5 linked regions of the Neurospora crassa OR74A genome follow. The protein of the gene in region 2 purifies or fractionates together with the protein of the main gene of each other region. This does not show direct contact. Links are inferred from orthologs where the notes say so. Each region holds a gene or a part of one and is shown on either strand. Other genes may lie near its edges.

Region 1 (4,209 bases), on a different chromosome or scaffold from region 2:
TTGCCCAAGAAGTCGAAAATGACAGTGTTGGGTTCCCTGAGGGTGACGTGCTCGTACTTGAGAGAGCAGCAACCGACAGTCTCGGCCTCGTTCTCGGTATCCTTTTCGTTACCGGCTCTGAGAGCGAACTTGTCAATGAGGTACATGGCCGTTGCGCGTTGCCTGTCAGCCATGACCTCGCTCTTGAGGTCCTTGGTATAATCGGCACGGATGCGATCAATGTATTTCTTGAGCTCACGGGCCTTTTCGAACTTCTTGAAATCGGCCTTGCCCTTCACAGTACTGTTTGCTGCCAACATCACATACTTGTAGTGTCCGTTGATGTTCTCTTGCCACATCGCGAGCCAAGTTGCCTTGTTGTCATGTTGAACGGCCTTCCACTTGTGGCCAGCTGGCGGCTCTGGGACCTTGGCCTCTTTGCCGATGTTGATGGTAATTTGCTCTGGCAAAACACGCTTCTTGATACACCCGGTCTTGGGGTGATCACCGCGACCACGGAAAAGTCCTGGAATTTCCACTCTGGGGTTACCAACCTTTTCTTTTCGCCCATCCCACTTGCAATATAGATAGGGGGCGTCCCTCTTGTCCCTTTCGGCTTTCTCGGCCTTCTTCTCTGCTGACGACCGGGCATTCTTAGCCTTCGTTTGAGCATCTTTGTAAGCCCACAACTGGGAGAAGTCGAGTTTTTCGAATTCCTTGATGTCAACCTTTTTGCCATTCTTGTCCTTGGCGCCACCTGTCCGATCTAGGATCTCCTTGAAGTCCCTGAAGAAGTTCTTCTGGAAAGTTGGGTTCTCAACATTCACCGTCGAGTTAAGCATGAAGCCGAAAAAGGTCGCAGCTTCCTCGGCCTCGATATCGAGTTCGACCGGCGTTCCATCGTAGAGCAGTTTGACGTCCTTGGGCAAACGCTGGTAATCCTCGGGGAAGATGACGCCGTTGTGCTCCAAGGTGGTCCACTTGATACTGTCATCTTCCTTCTTTGCCGACTCCTCCCACCACTTATACTCCTCTTCCTCATCGTCCTCATCGGTGATGTCCTTCGATTCCTCCTTGACGGACTTCTTGACAGCGGCAACCTTGCCCTTCGGGGCGGCCTTCGTGGCAGCCTTTGCAGCCGGCTTTGCAGCAGGCTTTGCAGCAGGCTTCGCGGCAGGTGCCTTCTTCGCCCGCTTAGCGATGGGCACATCCGAGTCAGACTCTTCCTTCTTCACACCATTCGTCTTCTTCGCAGCTGTGCCGTTGACCTGTCGCTTGGTGGGTTTCGCAAGGGGTTCGTCATCGGAGGATTCATCCTTGACGGCCTTCTTAGCAGCAGGCTTCTTGGCCTTGGTACCAGCACGAATACTCTTGGCTTCCTTGGCGGCTTCCTTCTCGATATTGGCCTTCTTCGCGGCGATCTTTCCGAGAGGTTCGTCGTCATCAGAATCTACGTCCATATCCGTATTCTTGGCGGAGGGAGGCAATCTCGCGCCATTTTTTTTCGCAATCGGCTCGTCGTCGCTATCGGAGTCTGGTTGCTTATGTTGTGTTTTTGAACGTTTCGCCTGTCCTGGTCAGCCACAGACCAAGCAAGGATACCAAGCTGCAAAGACTGGGAAACTTACCAAGGGTGCTTCGTCATCACTGGAGTCATCCTTATAGTTGATGGACTGATCAATGGATGTCCGCGATTTGCGCTTAGCCTGACCGCTTACTGAGGAGTCGACGTCCATCCTGTCCTGGTCGACGGGGCCATTACGGATGGAGACACCAACGGGAGCCATGTGAACCTTGGAATCAGCAGCGTCCATGGCACGATCATCGGCCTTGGAGATGGTCGGCGCCGAGGCTATAGTTGAAGAGAAAAGATTAGTCTCATGGGCGTGGTACAATGACAGATTGCATTTAGACGAGGCCATGGAAGGCATGACACGTTGACTCAGATCGGCTGGCAAACAGTGTGACGGGGCAGAGGATAGAGTGAAATAAGCGAGGGCTGATGGATGAAAGTGTGTGACTGATCACAGAAGCATTGACGTACCGTGGCCGTTGACCTTGGCGAGCGGCTTGTCGTCTTCAGAGCCCGAAGACATGGTTGCTAAAGCGTGTTGCGGTGTCGGCACTAGTAGGTACGTACGAATGTGTAAGGGCGCAAAATCCGACCCGTAGAGGTAGCGGCCGCTAAACAGTGGCGAAGGGTTGCTAGCAAGATGTCTGCAGGGCAACCGAGTCGAAAATGTTGTCGTCGGTCGTCGCTAGGAAGGGAGACGTGGAGAGAAAGAAATTCGCCGCTGGAGGTGACCGCTTACACCTTTGACCGTGGACAGAGTCTTGGTGCAAGTCACTTGGTGACCAAGGCTGGAAAGCGAGGGTCTCGGGAACTCGTCAAGGTCTTGGGTGCGCGAAAAATCGAGATGGCCGGTCGAGGGAACGAGTGTGTGAAAAAAAAAAGAGAGAGGATGTGGAGAGCCTGGAGGGTGGAGAGAACCAGAATGGCGCAAGGTGAGGGAGAAGAAGTGAAGGGAAAAAAGCGAAGGCGGAGGGCAGCATGAACGAATTCGGGAAGAGCAAGGGCAGTCGGGAGGCTGTTAAAGATAAATCCTGGGGCTCCACCCTGCAACTCTTTCTGGGCGGTCGTTGCCAGGACCGCCAGGCTGTGGAAGTATCGATGGGTGCTGTGGGTGGGTGGGTGTGTGGGTGTGTGGTGAGTGAGAACTGAGTCTCCAGTCGGGACTCCAGCCAACGGAAGGGAAGGTTTCGATGCGTCGTCGCGGTCGCAGGGGGATGTTCGCCAGGTCCAGTCTGTACCGCAATTCTCCCTGGTTCGCCTGGGTCGGTGCACCTCACCTGCCCCAAAATCCCTGAGGTGGTCGACTTTGAGAGGCCGGTACCTTTTTAGCGCGTCCCCGCTCTCGGTACCTTGAGTCTGAGCGTTCAGTTTCTAGCGTAGCGTACGCCCGTCAGTGTCGTGAGTGCGGTACGTAGAATCTATGGAATGGAAGTTCTCTGTTGCGTGTGGCAAAGACGGGCGCTCCAACAACAGTACGCTAGGCACCACTGGGATCGTGAGCACCCAGCCTCACAATGATTGCTCCAGAAAGCTGAAGGCATACTGACACACCTTGTTCATTCAAACAGAAAAACACCGCGTCGTCTGATCTTCACCCTAGTGAAGCTTCCGTGTGCTTGCTTAATCTGTGGGTGACTTAGGTTCAAGTTATTTACCGTCAAGGACACTGAGACGTGGACGCTTTTGATACAACCGTTTGCAAGGCACTTCCTCGTTCAAGTGAGCACCAAATTCACAACCGGATCGATGCTAAGTAGTTATCTCAGCGCTCAGACCCACCTTGAGCTCCCGGGCGTGCACGGACCTGTAACGAATACCACAATCTCAGCATTTTATTGATAAATTGAATTTTCTTTCCAAACCGGGCAATATTTTGGCCCTCCGCTCAAGGAGGTCTGAGTACACAACTCGATTAGAATCGCGTAGAGGTTGACCAACCCCCCAGAATATCAACCTCAACACTATAACTTCACAACAACACGTCGCATCACGAGGGTTTCTAGTTAATTCGGATCGCAAAAATCACAGCTTTCCAACGGTATCAATTTCATTATCATTACCATAGAGGAAGACTCCCAACACAAGGATGCGCAATCCATTCGCAATCTTCCAGCCCACATACAACATCGTCGTAATCGCTCTTAAGTATAACCATATTACTAACGTACTTCTTTAGCAACTAAACTATTAGGAATTAAAGAATTATTTGCTCTCTCTTCTACTCCATCTAATATTTAAGTCCCGGATTATATATAAGTAGAGCAAGACGTCGATAATAGAGTAAACTACAATAATACACTTATAGAGGATAATAATTATAATATTATTAAAGAGATATTCGACCTTTAGGCTCGCCTCCAATTAAGGTATAGTAAATGCGTAATAAAAGTAGCGATAAAAGGATAAGTTATTAAACTAAAGTCGTTTAATATTAAGGTATTTATAGTAGAGTAGTTTAAAGTTAGGCGTAGAAGTATAGATTTTATTAGTTTTTTCGACGAAAATAACAATATAAAGGAAGCTTTTAATAATAGTAGTCTTATTATTTAGTATACCGTTAATATACCCGATGGTCTAAATTACCCTACTTTTATACTATATAAAGAGATATAGGCCCTATTTACTGAGTTATTCTTCGGATAGTTTGAGGTTGAAAA
Region 2 (4,159 bases):
TTGATCCGGGAAAGCGACTTACTTCTGATTTCAACGAGCTTGTCCTGCTCAACTACGTCCTCCATATCCTTCTTCTCCTGCTCCTTCTTGACAGCGTCTCGTTTGAGGTTCGAGATTTGGTTTGCAATGTCAGCATACCTATCGCCATCGGTTGATTTGAAAGTCAAGCTCCTGACGAAGTGCGCAGATGCATCTTCGAAGGGCTGCTCATCCTTCCGACCCACACCCTGGCCAGGAGATAGGAAGTTGATTCTCAAGAATGACCACTCGCCCTCGTCACTCTTGCTTGCGTTCTTGATGGTGTTGATATGGAAGGGTACCGGCCTGCCCATAACAGGCAGTACTATGGTCGCGTTCTTTTGATCAATAACGATGCCCATATCCTTAACCTTGGGCGGGAATTGATTATCCCGCTTGTAAGATTCGAAGCGCTTGAACTTTTTGATTTCGACGCCATTCTCATCAGCGGTAGATTCGGCGTATTTGGCCAAGCCTTCCTTCTGTTTCTTCTGCGCGAGTTCCTTCTGATGCTCGCGACGTCTCTTGTCCGCGTCCTCATCTACCGTTGTATTACGCTCAGAGCGTAGACGAGTGCTAGTGATGTTCTTGGTTGCAACGGCACCCACCCTAGAGTCCCGCTTCTCCTTTTTCGGTGTGGGCTGTGCTTCTTCCTCATCTTTGAAGAAGAACGAGGTGGCATCAACATCGACAGGCGCCTCGCCAGTAAACACCACCGGCTCGGAGCTAGTGACACGGATCGTATCGGAAAGGATCAAGGAATAGACCTTGCTGTTCTTGTCTTGGGGGTTGGGGTTCTGGATATCACTGAAGCCGGTGGTCACAACCAGTGTCATGCCATCCTTAAGGGTACGGGTGTTCTTGTTGTTGAGAATCAAGGTCGGGTCCTTGTTCTCCAGGCCGATTCCAAAGCCGACGTTCTTAAGAAAGTGCTTCTCAAGATCGGGCTTTTTGGACCGCACAAAGTTGTAGGCCTTGGTGTAAACATCCTTGACAATGGCACCATCCCGGATCTCCTTGAGAATGAGGTTGTGGACAGCAAGTAGGAACTTGTAGTTGCTTTCTTGGGACTTGTTGGGATCGACCATGAAAGTTCTGGCGATTTGGGAGCAATAGGACTTGTATCTGAGACCCATAGCCGCGATGATAATTCCCGGGTGGAGTATATCATTGTCAGAATCAGCCTGCCACTTCAGGTCAAATTTGCCACCACTTTGGACGATCGGTCCCAGAATCCAGTCCAGCTGCTCGGGATCGAGGTCAGCCGGGAGCTTCTGTCGGTTGGGCAGCTCGACGGTCTTCCAAAACTTATCGTCTTCCAGTTTGTTGAAGACCTTATCGGCTAGTGCGCTGTGCTTGATCTTCTTATCTTGGTCGAGGATATTGGACATTTCGTCGAGGAAGTAAGGGGTCAGGAGGGCGACGCAAGCCTTGGACGAGGTCCGCATGGCACGAAGCTCGGTCTCATCCTTGACGGAGAAGGCGCCAGCAGACAGAGCCTGGGCAACGTCAACCTCCTCCACATCCTTGCAGTTATCGGCATAGACCTTCTTCCATTCGTCGATAAAGGGGCCCTTGGAGGTGTCCTTGGTAAGGACGCCAACCTTCTTCTATAACGAGCGAAAATGTGTTAGAACCGCACCGAGATGTTGATGTGCGCCCAGGATGGGATGTAACTTACGCCCGCAGCCTTGATGGCATCCGTAATTTTGATGAAAAGCTTCTCGTTCTCGGCGGCGTCCTTCCCCCGCACGAGGACCTCAACGGGGTATCTGCCGCCCTTCACTTGGTCGAGGTACTTGGCTATTAACGTGTCAGATAGTTTGTCCGCGTTCTTGGGTCGGGAATACCGGGCGAACCTTTCTTTTGGGTGGTGAGAATGTAGATGGTGTCGAGGGTAAACAGCATGAGGGTCGTCGGGAACTCGTAACCTAGCAGCCAGAACTTTACGTAGAGCTATCAGCAGCTGTCATTTGACTGGAATGGCCCGCCAGACGTACAGCCAGCGCACGCCGAGCGGGCTCTCCAGAGGGCAAAACTCACATGGATAGCGTTGTTCTTGTGAAACTCGGGGTTCTCGTCGACCTTGCCCATCAGGATGACGATGGAAGAGACGCCACCGAAGAGAGCGTCTCCGGAGCGCTTGTCGGCCTTCCAGGCATTGTAGAAGTGCGAGACGCGCTCCTGGAAGACCTTGCTGTCGATTTTGATGTCTGCCATGATGAGCGACGGCACAGCGGCGCGCGATTGAAGATGGCAGAAACAATCAAATCAGCAGAGGTTTGGGTTTGGGTGAAGTCGTGCTTTTGGCGAGGGGCTGCTTGCTCTGGTACTGACGGTGGCGGCAGACACCCTTCAAGATGACAGAAACAAGGCTACCACACCTCTCCAGCCGGCACTGCTAGTACTTTACAGTGCTTGCCAGCCGGGATCCGGTTCCAGGCCAAAGACACAAAAATTCCCGTGTCGCGCGTCGCTCACGTCACGGGCCACAGCTCTTGGCGCCCCTGTCCACTGCCTTCGCGTTAGGATGCCTAAGAGGTTCTGTTCTGTGCCTGAGGCAACTATATATGCTGGTTGCCACGGCAATGGTGATATTCCTGAAAGGTCTGTAGTATGGGAATCGTAGAGAAGTATATTGATGAATGATGGAAATAGACGAGCGTAAATGGTGTCGTCGGGACTTCCAACAACTTGCGATTCTGTTAACTTTGTAAGTCGAACTTGTACCTCTTTCTTTAGGTGCCCTGCAGCGAGTGCATGGAGATGAAAGAGGGACAGGCGGGACAGGGCGTGGAATGGAAACAGAGGGACGGGAGGGGTGGAGCTAAGTTTCCAATGCACAGGTACGATTAAACTAAGTCTTGGCAAGCGATGGAAGCTCTGGGGTGCCGAACTTCTTCCATTTAAATACTAGTAGACGTACTAACCAGAACTCACCTTTCTTTACTTCGACGCAAAGAACGTCCTCAGCAGCGATCAACCTAGAGCTGATACCCATGTCAACCTGAATGAATAAATGAACGAGTGATGGCAATCACTGTGCGAAACGACAGCAACACTATCTTCAAGAATAGACTCGACGGGCCCAGACACCGCGTACAAGTGCAAAGAGCAATGTCCAAGATGCCGCTCGGAAAACCTGTGATGTTTCACATCTATACTTGATAGATCGGCATTCTGGAAGATACCGCCATGAGATGGAAAAATTGGCTAACATCTGCCCGACGGGAAACTTTACTGAATGGTGGAAGACGACGAACTGTGCCCATCGAACCAATCACTTGTCCGTGATTTGACGTTCACTGCAAAGCGAGCTGCTGTACTGCAAAAATAAGTAGTTCCCGCTGCCGTCTCGACAACCATTTGGGCATCTTCTGGACCTTGGTTCGGGTAACTTAGACAGCACATCATAAGGTCCAGATCACTAATAGAAGACAAGCTGCCATCAGCACAACTTCCGAGAAGGGCCCTTGAGCTGTATCCTGCCCAGTATGAAGCGAGGACGAGCCTCCCACACCATCTAGTAAGTATCCGCACAATTATCTTGGATTCCTTTATCCGGCTGGTGATTCAGTCCGGTCCTCTTTGGGATCGAAACCGTGAATCCACCGGAGGCCACTCGGGGCCGGCCCATCGGCTGCCGGTACGGCGGCAGTTCCGCACGGACCCGACCGGAGCAGTGCCATTTGGCCCCACTTCCCCGGATTCAGAAGTGAATGACAAATTTCAAAAGTTGAAGTTCGCTTCCTCGGTGTCCAACACCACCACTCTAGGTCGATTTTCAAGATTTGTACATAGAAAGAACAGGGTCATAATAATACGTCAAAATGGTTCGTGAACAGTTTCAATCAGTCCAATCCTTTGTTTCGAGACAGTTGAAGACCTCATCGCGCATACCTACCTACGAACTACAGGCTTCTCCAAACTTGAGGACGGTTGAGACTAACACGGTATTCGTCTTATAGGTTCACGCCGACGCTTCCAACTTTGCTGCCAACGTCACCAAGGAAGAGGCCTACCAGCAGGTTCTTGACCAAGCTGAAGGTCTGTTCTATGAGCAGAGGAACTGGGTAAGATGAGGAACCAAGCCTGCTTGCACCACCACATCAGGAAGGGACAATGTCTAAAAAGGTGACCT
Region 3 (3,816 bases), on a different chromosome or scaffold from region 2:
TTATCGCGCGGGAGACGAGGAGGAGGCGCTGAGTCCGGATTCTTTAGATCACGGCAGCAGCTATGGGCACCCCGTGGTACGGGCCAATGGCACCGGTTTGGAAAGCAATGTGGGACCGGACCAGCCCGGTGGGATCATCACGGGGAGGAAACCACCGTCGCTTGACGTTGATCAATGAGAACAGGTTGACACAGCTTACAGAGACGGGTAAATGACGATCAGATATGAAAGGCAAATTTCGACGCATTGTCGGATCAGAAGAGTCAAGGTGCATTTTCCGGAAGTAGGGACTTGGCCCGGATGGGTGGGCTTGATGACAAAAGCGATTATTTCTCTAAACGAGGAAATATGAGGAACAACAAATGGTTTTATGTCACCAACATGGGTTTTGGTACAGTCTCTCTTATGTTCAGGAGGCGTTTTGAGATAGGGAAATGAGGAACCTATCCATATGTACACATATCTACCTGGTAACTCTTCAAGGGAAGTTTGAGCACACTGGTCTTCGGCATTAATCAACGTGTTTATGCTGTGGTAACAGTTCATGTATTTGAAAGGTTCGTGTTGCCGCATGACACCGCTTGTGAATCTTTCCTCAGTAGACGCTTGGATATATGGTCTGGTCGTTTTGAATTTTCACGCTCCAAGAGACTGCCTTTCAAGCGTTAAGTTCAACTTCCCGTCGATTTGACGATTGGTTTTTAGGAGGCTTGAAACAGAGAAGGGTGCAGTTCAGCACAGACGAAGAGAAGCAAAGCCGGCAAGGTGAGAAGAAATCGTCTGGTAAGAACCGAAAAGACGTATAGCTAGACCAAAGAACATAAACACTCTATCAATGGCTCTCTCTCCCTTATTCGCATCGATCCCGACGTCCGCTGTGTAGAGGCTTATGGGGTGCGGGAATAGAAACAAAAAAACAAAGAGAAGAGAGGCACCTGTACTCATACTTTGTTACTCGATACTGTATGGTATATGCATTCCACCACCTCAAAAGTCAAAAGATCCCGTACCTCGCCTGTTCCATCCACTCATCGAACTCCACTTCAGCCTGCTCTTCATAGTCCTCCCCTAGCCTGAGACTCCGTCGCAGCCTTGCAGCAGCAGACATGAGAGGTGTCAACCAATGGTTCGGCTCGTTTGGCTCGTTTGGTAGCTCAGCTTCATCGTCAGCTTCGTCGGCGGCTCCAATCGTGGCTTCTGAATTCCAATACTCTTCATCCGCTTCTCCACCAGTAGCAGCAGGCCCTTTCTAATGAACGCCTTCACCGCCGGCAGCAACGCCTCCCGTTGCTGTACCTGCCGCCGCCGCCGCATGTTGCTGTTGGGCACCTTCAGCCTCATCCATAGCAGCCAGCTCCTCCTCTTCCTCCTCTTCCTCCTCCTCCTCCTCGTCATCATCGTCAAGCTCAGCCTCGTCCTCGGCGTCCTTGAACCCGCTCTCGACCTCGAGCTTCCTCAGCCGCCTACGCATCTCGTCCCGCTGGCTGTTCTGCCAGCGCACCAGAGCGGCAGCGGCGTGCACCTTGAAGCCGTAGCAGCGCGGAATGTAGCGCTCGACGCTCTTGGCGGGCACCAGGGTCGGGTATACCTGAAAGAAGATGTTGTGGAACGAGGTGCCGAAGTAGGCGCCGTCAATGGCGGCGTGGCGCGACGACTTGGGGTTGTAAATATCCTCGCAACGCGCGCAGTACAGCTTCACCGGCTTGGAGTTGGGCACGTCCGAGAGACCCATGGGCAGCAGAGGGTGCGAGGAACACATGACGCGCGGGCACTTGCCAAAGTCGGCTTTTTTGTACTTTTCGAACTGTTGGTGGGAAGTGCGTTAGTCACGGATGAAGACGAGGAGACGCTGGATGAAGATGGAATGCTGAGAGTTGATTACTGACCATTTTTTGAAGACCCCGCGTTGTGACAATGTATCGAGCATGGACAAGACCGTACAGGTGCCTAGCAGACTTCTCTATTGTTTCCCGCATGTCGTCATCGCAGTCGAGGTCGAAGACATCGGTGATGAGATCGAGAGCATATTGGTAGTACTGGACCTCAGTGTTGAGACCAGTTAGATTGAACCTATCAGTGATGTAGTCCTCGTCAATTTCGCAAAAGTACTCATTGCCTCGCGAGGAAATAAACTGCAGGCGGACGCGCAAATGTCAGCATGATTGGGGAACCTTTACTGTAGTAAACAATAACAACAATTGCAAGAGAAGCATACCCAGTCGCGCCAATAGCTGGCATAGTCGCTCTCAGACTCGCTCACAAAGTCATCCATGGCCGGCGACACCACGTCTATACTCGGCGCATAAAAGGAAGGGAGGAAGGTGGTGGTGGGAGGAAAGTGGGCGCGAACGACCGTCGGCTGGCGCTTCGCATCAACGAGGCCAAAATCCCGGGTGCCGGGGTCAAGTACGGCGTTTGAACCTTTTGTTGGGCCGAACTAATGCGCGCCGGGCCGTAGATGGGGAGTGGGAGGTCCGAGTCGGATGAGATTGAGCTGGCACAAGGCACAATGACGACAAGACGTTGGAGAGGATTGTGATGCTTTTTTGCGACGGTTTGATGGGAGTTCAGGTGGAAGAGGGTTCAAAGCCGTCCCTGGTGCAGGGCAACGGCAGGGCAGGCGAGGGGGTCTGGACTCTAGACCGGGAGCCAAACAGGCTGACAGTCCATGACAAGGGACTTTTTTTTTTGGTGGGGGGTTCATCGCCGTTGCAGTGGTCCCCGCAGGGCAGGTTGCAGTGCCCCCCCGCCCCTGGCTCATCGCAGTCTGTTTATCAGCAGTCCCGACCTACCCAGGGCACTACACAGAGGTAGGTTATCAGGTCTGCAAAATCGACCATCTGACTACCTAAGTACCTACCTAGGTAGGTAGGTAGGTAGCGGGCGGGTACCTTTCGTCGGCCTTCAGTCAGCCCAACGGCCCAGCGTATGACTTTAATTGTACGTTCACAGGTACTGGGGATGGAAGCATGTACTCTGTCATTAAGGTAGGTATTCTATTGGGCGTCATGACGTTCAGTGCTACAGTTTGTGCCTTATTTTTGAGCAGGTATATTGTTGGAGACGGAAAACCCAAAAAAAATATATATAAATAAATAAAAATGGGGGATAAGAACGCCAGTCGCCTGTGATTATAGCTGTTCTAGATTATCTTGAAACATCCCGGCTTCTATAACATCTGTGTTGCCCTACAGCATGTGTCTAGAGCTCAAGACCCCCGCTTCATCATAAAGTGACGTTCTGGTAGGATCGTGAGCGCCACGGCTATGGATATCCAACAATCCTACAACCAACTATCCGCTTTCCAATTTCCATCCACTTCATTAACCTTCGTACCGATTAGCACTGACAACGCTGCCGGCGTCGCTGATTGTGCGCCTGTCAGCATCCCAGTCACTACCTATGATCCCCTTGGTATTGGAAATCAATGAGCTGGTAGTGCTGGAAGCACCGTTAGCACCACCACCCTGAGGAACTCCAAGCATTGTGCCCAGCCCGCTGCCTACGCTGCCATGGCCATCCTCCAGCTCACTTTCCTGCTTCACTCGCATCTTGGCCAGCTCCATTGCTTCACGCAGCGTGTCCCCCGTTTCATCGAGCGCTGCTAAAAACCGCGCCAGCTCTTTGCATAGCTCCCAGTCGCCCTCGCGCATTGCTCTGCTTAAGAGACGCACACTCTGCTCGCTTGCTGTTGCGAGTTCGTCAAAGGTATGGAGGATGAGTAAGTAGCCGCCAGCAGTCTTGAGGCTCCCACGCTGCAAGCTCTCCTCAAACAGCTCCTGAGGTGGAGGGAGATAGGCGAACAGAGTACGCCAG
Region 4 (4,025 bases), on a different chromosome or scaffold from region 2:
AGATCTGGCTGGCCGGTGTGGACCAGGAACTTACAAAGGGGGGTATGTTGAAGCCGGGATTGGGAGATGTGGGGGATCGCTTGTTTTTGACAATTGGCAAGTAAATGATGAGGGGAGGGGAGAGGAAATGGGAGTTAGATTTATTTAGTATTTGGATATACAATTGAACACCGTTATATGCATGTGCTGGTGTGTCGTTATGTCCTGTTGCTTACACAGTTTACAATTCTCTTTGAGTTACTTTCATTCGCACTTGATTGAGGAAGTGATTTGGTCTTTGTAAGATGAACTCGATGTAAAGGACATGTCATTCGATGGCACAATGACCGATAGGTTCTCCCAGCGTCTTTCACCTAGTTAAAAGCAACAAGGTAGTTCAATATTGTTCTGTTGGATGGTTTTGGGTAGTCATCAGGGCAACTCGAAACAAACTTACCCATAGCCAAGACAAAATAAATGATACACATCACTTGAATCGACAAGTCTCACTCGCAATTCTGCACAGAGAGAGAGAACTCTGCGGGGTCCCAGCACGGGTAATACTAATCACCCTCTATGCCATTTCACAACTGGAAAGGGCAAAAAAAAGATATGCATTAAGAGCTACCGCCCAAAACAAAAGCCCACCATTCCCCAAACGCCCAGGTATAGTCGGTGCAGATATCAGCACCTGTTTCCAAGTCAGACCACTAAACACCGATGAAATAGAACAAGGAAACAAGAAGGGAAGAGGAAAGTCACCGGCCCTCCAAATAGCCCCTAAAGAACACCGCTCAAACCTCACGGGCCTGCTCCGCCAGCGCTGGGCACACAATCAGTGCTTCGGCTGCTGCTGCTGCTGCTGCTCCTTCCTCTTCTGCGCGCGTATCTTCCAGCTCTCCTTTATCGCCGTCGCCGCGCTCAGAAGTTCCTGATCCGACACGCCATCCCTTATACTCGCCATGACGCTGGAGACGGTACTCGTATGGTTCGCCTCATTCTTATCGTCACGAAACCTGAACAGCCGCCACCGGTTTTCGGCATCCAGACAGCACTCCACCACGCGATCCTGCAACGGGTCGCCCAGCGCCTTGAGCGTCTCCCACTCGTCCTCCGCGATATAAAGTGGGTCCGGAAAGAGTTCGTATTTGCTTCCGCCCGGTCCGTCGTTGCCGCAGAAAACGTACAGTTCCGCTTGTGGGACCGAGTCGTAATCTGTAAATTGTTCGGGAAACCCTTCGTCAAGTTCGGCCTCGGTGGCTTGTACAAGGGGGAAATTGAGGCGCATGCGGAAATCCAACGTGTTCTCGTGCGGCGCTTTCCACTTGAGAATGTGCGGGTCGGTGCCGAAGTGGTAAGGGGTGGTGCGGCACGTAAAGATGAGACCGTCGCTGTCGTGTTTCAAGGCAGGTATTACTTCGCGGAACATGGTCTCGATGCCGTACGACAGCTCCATGCGCTTCATCTCCACCTTGAAGGCCATGAAGGGAATTTCCTGTGGGAACTGTTGAAGCAGCTTTTTGTAGGGTTCGTATATGTAGGCGCTGAAGTAGCCGAGGCGCTTGTCGAGAGGTTTGTTCAAAAGTTCGGCTTTGTCGTCGAGCGCGAGTAGGTCGAAGACGAGGAAGCGCGGTTCTTTTCGACCGTTTGTGCCGGGCACTGTGTCCATCACCAGCTCGCCGTCGATGATGGTGCCGCGATGAAAGGCTTGAATGTCGTTTGGCATGGGGAAGTGCATGCTGTTGCGAGGGAGGAACCAGTAGTCGTTTTTGCGGTCGATCAGGTATTGGACTTCCTGCCCTTCTTCGTCGACGGTCAGGTAGAGGAGGTAGCGAATGCCGTCGGATTTTTCGCAGACATAGTAGCTTTACGGATGGTTAGCCAGAAGTCATGACATGCGCAACCGTAACAGACGAGCCTTGGCTTACTCCTCTCTTCGTAGTTCCTCCAGGTGCTTGCGAGCAAAGCTGACGGGTTGTGCTCCGGGAAAGCCAATGGAACTCCTCCCTAGAATCCGAGCAACTTCTTCTCGCAGCGAAATGGCCAAATCGCGGGGCGCTTTGATGCCAGGCTTGGCAATGTCGGTAATGGGCCCTGGTTGTTCCATTGTGAGGGCGGCAAGCGAGAGCGGATCGTGGACGAGCGACGGGACACGACGTAGACGGTGGTGGTGATTTGCGACAGCTGTCTGGAGTAGAGCTGGCTAGATCCAATAGCTGTGATATGTCGTAGGTTCGATTCAATACTGGTTCTTTCAGGCTGTGCCGCGAGAAGAGGAATCGAAAAAAATGCTGGGTGGTGAACAATGGACTGTAAAAAGTTGTTGAGGTCAAAGTTGGTGTTGGAGGCCACGAATTGCTAAGTCTCGTCGACAAGAACGGGTCGTCATGAACTCTTGGGCGTGACGCTTATCTTATCGCATCCCCTGGACCGTCTGGACGACACGCTATAAGTGCCATGCCAACAGGGTGTAGCCCGTTTTCTGGATGCCACTCGAGGTTCGTGGGTGTACCCGTACTACTGTATAAATAACGGTTCTAAAAAGTGATGATTTCTCATTGGTCAAAAGTAGGCTGAAGAGTAGAAGAGAAGAGGGATCTGGAGAGACAAGCTAGCTTAAATAGGCTAAGAGTAGCCAATGCACGTGACACAAACAAGTGGGTCTCAGTTCCATTCTCACCGGGACTGTACCTACAGGTAGGTACTTACTGATTAAATACTGCGAAGCAAGGCCTACCATCCATATGCGCTACATGCCCTCTGGAACGCGACCAAGTGAAGGAGGCGACCTGGATGGAAACCACCTCCGTCATTCACATGGTACGTCTACTGTATCGCCCCAACCTCGGGGTATCTGTTTTCAGGTTCTCTAGAAATCAGGCATAATCGGACATGCATATGCCTGATTTGTATATATTATGCCCGCAAAACTAGTATTAAAAATGGAGTTTTGTTGCTACCCCGGAGAACTGTAACCTCAACTCTTCTTATACTCTGCCTTTTTTCATCTATTTTTTGGAAAGGCGCTGGATGGTGGATATTCGAAGTCAACTAACGTCTTGCATACAATTTCTGGCGGCCATGGATGTTGCAGTACAGTATGCTCACAGATCATGCCTGATTTCCACGGAACTTGAAAACGGATGCCCCGAGTCTACACGGTATTATCAGATTCCAAGTCTCCCATGTCTTTACACTCACCTTTGAGGTCCACCGTATGCAGTTGTAGTGGACAAAGGCTCAGGGGCAGCAACCACCAGTCCAATGCCGATCATGCTTTTGTCCAAAAAGTGAACTATCTGGCCTATGCAAGGTACGTTCCACCACACTACACCTCCAGATCTCCCCCGAGATTCCTTGAAAGAAGTGTGGAACCTGCCCATTCAAGGTTCGTTGTTGCATGTTACGTAGTTGCCTGCTGTCTGGCCCATTGCAACCCGTCCAACCTCTCGTCCAACATGCCCGCCTGGGTTGCACAAAATGAAGGGACAAATATCAGAAAATAGGTAGTCCTGCTCCATCAGTCGTAATGCATGGACTCTCATTATGTTTTATTCTCGTCTAAATTGATATTCGTCATCAAGACAAAAAACAACCCTTTTGACATCTCCTCAACGCCCGGAAAGTTGTTGGTACACTCTCCACATGATAAATCATCCCTCATGACGTTTGATATGAACCAACCCACTCGGAGAACGGACCACTCTGTTCGACTAAGACTCGTTGATCTTGTTGACCTCGGCCTTCGCTTCCTCCCAAGTCTCCTGGTTCTTCTTTGCCCACTCAATCTGGCTCTTGGCATACGCGAGCTAAGACCCAAGTTAGCAATTGGTCGTGATCGGTATACTGTAAATTGTCGTGGTCTTACCATGTACCGCTTGAGGTCATCCTCCTTCTCACGTTGAAACCTCTTTAGATCCTTGAGGACGCTCGCGCTCGCGTCCTTGACATCCTTGGCCGATGCAATCTGTGCTTGCTCCAGTTGCACGATGGATTCCCTAGTCTTTCCAATAGTGTCACGCCGGGTCCGCTCAGGATCAACGTCC
Region 5 (4,137 bases), on a different chromosome or scaffold from region 2:
CCTTCTTCTTTCCTCCTTCTCCGCCTTCCTCTTCTGCGTTTTCCTCCTCGATGCGTTGCCGACCCTTGAAGGTCTGCTTGTCCGGGACGACATATTTGTTGCGGTGGAATTCGTGAAGCAAAATGTACTCGTTCCGCTCAGCACGCGTACCGGTAAGTGTTCTTGCCCACGAGTTACCAGCCAGGTTGGTGAGAACCTTGGTAAGAGGAAGAATTTGAGTCCTGAGTGCAAGAGCCGCGATGAAGTAAGTGTCAGTCTCGGCGTGGGAGATGTAGTCCATCAAACCATGTTTGTCAGCGTTAGCCCACGTCTTCAGGGCGACTTCGTTGTCGATATCCCTCCTACGACTTTCGCCTCCCAGATACAGACTGCACATCTCGGTCAAGGACCAGGTCTGGCACTTGGTCATTACTGATTTACCGGCATCGTTAGCAAGATCGCATAGCAGACGGCCAGACATTATCTGACGTTCGGCAAATACATTGCCACCCATCTTAACAATGGACGAGGGCCACTGAGAGCGCCTGAGTCTGCCCAAACGAGACCATTGATGTGTCTTTTTCTCGTGCAGCCGGTTCAGCAAGATGCTGTAGTCAACACCTTCTAGCTGGTGGCCAAGGATAACGTCTGGATCGACAACATCGATCTGTGCGAGCAAGAAATTCAAGATCTCGTGTTCCTGCTTGAAGAGCTTGAGCACACCTCTGTTTCTTTCCTTGGCAAGCGTCTCGAAGCCGATAGGAAATGCGCTACCGTAAGGTCTAACAGCGGTGAAACTACGAGAAGCAAGCTTGTCTGGGGGAGTGGTGTCACTGAGCGACACATCAAGGTAGACTCTCCCGCTAACCGCGAGAATCTCCTGCTTATTATCCTTAGGGTTGAACGCTGTGCGCATAGCCAGGCTTAACAACGTCAAAGGAGGAGGCTCAATACTCTCGGCGTTATCCGGGACCGACACCATGTTGGGATGTTCTACCAGGACCTCCAGCTTGCAGTGCGAAGCATTCCTCAAGGAAGTGAAGTCTGCATCCTCGATCTTGAGCCAGCAGGGGCCCATGATGTTCTTCCAGAGCACAAACTGCTCGAACAGAGCGGTATTGGTACCAAAGACGTGGGAGAAGGTTTCGCCTTTGTGGGTGGGTTCCATCGCAGGCTTGGTATATGGGTAGAGGAGCTTCAAATACTGGCTCTCCTTGGGAACGTCGGGAAGCTCGAATGCGTACTTGCGGGTGCAAGCCTTGATCTTGTGCATGCCGACATTCATCTTGGTCATGATTTCATCAACCTCGTTGTAGACGTCCATCATTTCCACCTCTTCTGTTGTTTCCTCGCCACCTCGCACACGGTACTTGCGCGGCAGGAAGAAAAGCTTCCGGAGAATGTTGTCAACCTTGACAAAGCAGCTGACGTAGGTTTTGGTCTTTTTGTTTAGGACCTTGCCAAACAAGCACAAACTGCCGTTGACCTCTGTGTAGTCTGTCCAGAACATGTTCAAGCTGCCGTCTTCTTCGATAGCGTCCTTGTAGTCAATCTTGCCAACGCTCCTGCCCTCGCTTTGTGACATGGATACGACATTGAGCTTCTGATTGATCTCGTTCCAGGAAGCAGCGTCGACCTCTGGCGCTGGTGCCCTTGCGGGTGACGAACTGGCCGGGACGGGCTCTGTCTTGAGAATCTTTTTGATTTGACGGGATGCTGATATGTTGACGCTGGCGGCTGTTACCGCTCCAGTATGGGCAACCTCCATCATGTCCTCATCTTCGTCCTCATCATCCTCATTCTTTTTGGGTTCCGGCCTGCCAAACGTCCTCCGTGTTGCTACTTTGGCGGCCGGTGAGGAGGGCATGATGGCGTCGCTCATAAGATAATCGGAGACTGGTGCAGGTTCGTCGTCCATAGCAGGCAGGTAGTCGTCGTCTGGTAGAAGGTCGTCGTCTCCTGCTGGGGATGATGCCCGATCATCGACTGTCTTGGCTCTCTTTGCCATGGGTGGCCGAGGTTCCCGTACCGGGGAGAGCACCCGGACCTTTCTCCTCTCGACTGATCGATCTCGCTTCTTGGATACTCGTGTGACCGGGACGGGGATTTGTGCGGTGACCTGGTCGATGAGGTCGTCCAAGAACTTTTCATCTTCTTCTGTTTTGATGACCTTTTGTTTTGGTGGGGCTTTGACGGCGCCTTTCGTGAAGTATTCGGTGATGTCTCTGTCGTTGGCATCTCGTTTCGCATCTTCATGTTCCTTTTGTTTCTTGGCTAAGAGGGAGGAGAACGAAGGTCAGTACCAGAACCAGAGTGCTTTATAAGTTGCTCCCATCGTCGGGTTTCAGCGTCTCGATCTGCTCACACTTGCGCGGCTTGCTGCCGGGTAGGCCTAATTCCTCCTCGCTGTCGCTGTGGTACTGGGGGAGACGGTCCCATTCTTCGCGGCCGTCGTCGGCATAACCCTCGCCATTGTCGTCAACCACGAAATCGTCCTCGTTCAAGCGGTCTCTGACGATTTTCTTGTACTGGTTCTCGTCGACTTCTTCGTAGAGCTCGTCGATCTCGCCGACGTCGTAGGTCTTCTTCTTGCCGGACTGGCGCAGTTCGCGCAGCTCAGCGTACTTGTCTCGCTTGGCTACTCGTCTGGACATTTTGACAGGCCGTTGTGATGTTGCCTTTAGGATTGGAGATTGGATGGTGACGAGACAACAGAGGAGCACCAGGCCAACACTCTGGAGAGAATGTCGACGGGGCCACCGTGATGTGGTAGTGTTGGTGACAAGAGTCGTAAGAGAAATATAGTGGGATTACAGGGTTCAATTGGTCCCCTCCAGTAACAAAAAGAAAGTCGCGTTTAGTTTCGTTACTCGTCGCGTACTTTACTGTAAACTGTAAGCGCGAACCCTTGTCCCCGTCACGGTCGTGTTTAAGAGGTGGGGCAGTTCTGCTGCTTTGGCCTAAGCGGATACCTAAGGAAAGCAACGTAGTGGCCCACGTACATAGTGTACGTACCTTTCAGCAACGGGGCCCCTGTCAGTGTACCTGATGCCGACCCCCGACCCACCGCGTCTCCACAAGTGCAAAAGGCCGCGGCAGGCATTTTTGTAGATCAGTCTCCAAAATTTCGGAATGTCATCCTAACTTTTGGCCATCATTCACGGTCTCCATCTCAGCATCATCCTCCGTCCAGAGTCCAGGGCAGTTGTGCGCCCGCCGCAGCAAAATACCAAATATCGATTTCTTCCCGGGCCATAGCTTTGATACCACATCGCCCAATTCTCAAAGTTGTCTAGAACAACAGGAAATCGTCACAGGAAACTCGACGATCCAGATACCCCACCAACCGACCATTAGCAACACAGGTACCTCGGCCCGTACCTCGCAGAAGAAAAAGATTCAAAACAATCAAGGGCAAACTCGGTTGTCCGCAAACCATGTTTGTGTGCCGGGCTTGTCTGCGGAAAGGCCTGGCTCCTGGAGCTTTGGCTAGGATAAATGCGCCTGCAGTTGGATCTCGTCTGGCCCTTCCAAGGTTAGGCGCACTTACACCAAGCCAGTCCACGACCACCATACGATCCTACCACTTGCCCGCCCTCAAGCCAAAGACTGCCGCCGATCCCTCCGTTACCCTCGATCTCGAAGCGCCGGAAGGGGAAGAAGATGGAGACGGGTCGGAAGGGAAGAGGAAGAAGAGGGACCTGAGCGACGAGCAGCGGAAGAAGCTGGAGCGCAGTGCGGCTTTACAACTAAAGCACTTCAAGGATCCCTTCCACATCGAGAAGCAGGTCAAGTTGACCCTTGACAAAGGAAAATATGAAGAGGCCCTTGTTCTCACCCGCAAGGCCAGCAAGAACGCAAAGGTCCAAGTCTCGTGGAACCATCTGATCGACTACCACATGAAGAACAAGCGTCTGTCTGCCGCCATCAAGATCTACAACGAGATGAAGAAGCGCGCCCAGGTTCCAGATGCCAGGACTTACACCATCATCTTCCGAGGCTGCGCCATGAGCGAGCACCCCAAGCAGGCAGTTGCAGAAGCCGTCAAGATCTACCACAGCTTGCTCAGGAATGAGCGCGTGAAGCCAACCACAATTCATCTTAACGCTGTCCTCGAGACATGTGCCCGCGCCGGCGATTTGGACAGCATGTTCACGA

What was found. The genes of interacting proteins can lie anywhere in the genome.
Region 1: the proteins of NCU01164 (region 2) and NCU09118 purify together in Saccharomyces cerevisiae (affinity purification with mass spectrometry; 3 studies listed by BioGRID). This does not show direct contact. The link is inferred for Neurospora crassa OR74A from reciprocal best matches to the Saccharomyces cerevisiae genes SPT16 and TOP1.
Region 3: the proteins of NCU01164 (region 2) and ckb-2 purify together in Saccharomyces cerevisiae (affinity purification with mass spectrometry; 9 studies listed by BioGRID). This does not show direct contact. The link is inferred for Neurospora crassa OR74A from reciprocal best matches to the Saccharomyces cerevisiae genes SPT16 and CKB2.
Region 4: the proteins of NCU01164 (region 2) and NCU06260 purify together in Saccharomyces cerevisiae (affinity purification with mass spectrometry; 3 studies listed by BioGRID). This does not show direct contact. The link is inferred for Neurospora crassa OR74A from reciprocal best matches to the Saccharomyces cerevisiae genes SPT16 and CEG1.
Region 5: the proteins of NCU01164 (region 2) and NCU07870 purify together in Saccharomyces cerevisiae (affinity purification with western blotting; 4 studies listed by BioGRID, with this or other methods). This does not show direct contact. The link is inferred for Neurospora crassa OR74A from reciprocal best matches to the Saccharomyces cerevisiae genes SPT16 and POL1.

The regions. Positions count from the first base shown.
Region 1 is NC_026501.1:5,391,581-5,395,789, forward strand, and holds the start of NCU09118 (DNA topoisomerase I), read right to left. Parts: upstream 2,809-4,209; 5' UTR 2,076-2,808; coding exon 2,024-2,075; intron 1,832-2,023; coding exon 1,608-1,831; intron 1,548-1,607; coding exon 1-1,547.
Region 2 is NC_026505.1:3,095,785-3,099,943, reverse strand, and holds the start of NCU01164 (transcription elongation complex subunit), read right to left. Parts: upstream 2,802-4,159; 5' UTR 2,239-2,801; coding exon 2,062-2,238; intron 1,963-2,061; coding exon 1,878-1,962; intron 1,822-1,877; coding exon 1,700-1,821; intron 1,629-1,699; coding exon 23-1,628; intron 1-22. Other genes in the region: NCU01163 (GAF domain nucleotide-binding protein), read left to right, coding at 3,849-3,851, 3,987-4,091. UniProt on the Saccharomyces cerevisiae protein: Component of the FACT complex, a general chromatin factor that acts to reorganize nucleosomes. The FACT complex is involved in multiple processes that require DNA as a template such as mRNA elongation, DNA replication and DNA repair.
Region 3 is NC_026501.1:3,448,770-3,452,585, reverse strand, and holds ckb-2 (casein kinase II subunit beta-2), read right to left. Parts: upstream 2,647-3,816; 5' UTR 2,273-2,646; coding exon 2,216-2,272; intron 2,133-2,215; coding exon 1,887-2,132; intron 1,805-1,886; coding exon 1,250-1,804; 3' UTR 509-1,249; downstream 1-508. Other genes in the region: NCU02755 (PAP2 domain-containing protein), read left to right, coding at 1-178; NCU11228 (DUF1339 domain-containing protein), read right to left, coding at 3,324-3,816. UniProt on the Saccharomyces cerevisiae protein: Regulatory subunit of casein kinase II/CK2.
Region 4 is NC_026503.1:2,102,134-2,106,158, reverse strand, and holds NCU06260 (mRNA-capping enzyme subunit alpha), read right to left. Parts: upstream 2,544-4,025; 5' UTR 2,087-2,543; coding exon 1,908-2,086; exon of another isoform or gene 1,898-1,907; intron 1,845-1,897; coding exon 815-1,844; 3' UTR 509-814; downstream 1-508. Other genes in the region: NCU06261 (uracil phosphoribosyltransferase), read left to right, coding at 1-104; NCU06259 (sorting nexin-41), read right to left, coding at 3,693-3,788, 3,848-4,025. UniProt on the Saccharomyces cerevisiae protein: Second step of mRNA capping. Transfer of the GMP moiety of GTP to the 5'-diphosphate terminus of RNA via a covalent enzyme-GMP reaction intermediate.
Region 5 is NC_026503.1:1,182,414-1,186,550, forward strand, and holds the start of NCU07870 (DNA polymerase alpha catalytic subunit), read right to left. Parts: upstream 2,809-4,137; 5' UTR 2,634-2,808; coding exon 2,345-2,633; intron 2,254-2,344; coding exon 1-2,253. Other genes in the region: NCU07871 (hypothetical protein), read left to right, coding at 3,417-4,137. UniProt on the Saccharomyces cerevisiae protein: Catalytic component of DNA polymerase alpha, which in complex with DNA primase (DNA polymerase alpha:primase) constitutes a replicative polymerase. POL1 has a role in promoting telomere replication during interaction with CDC13.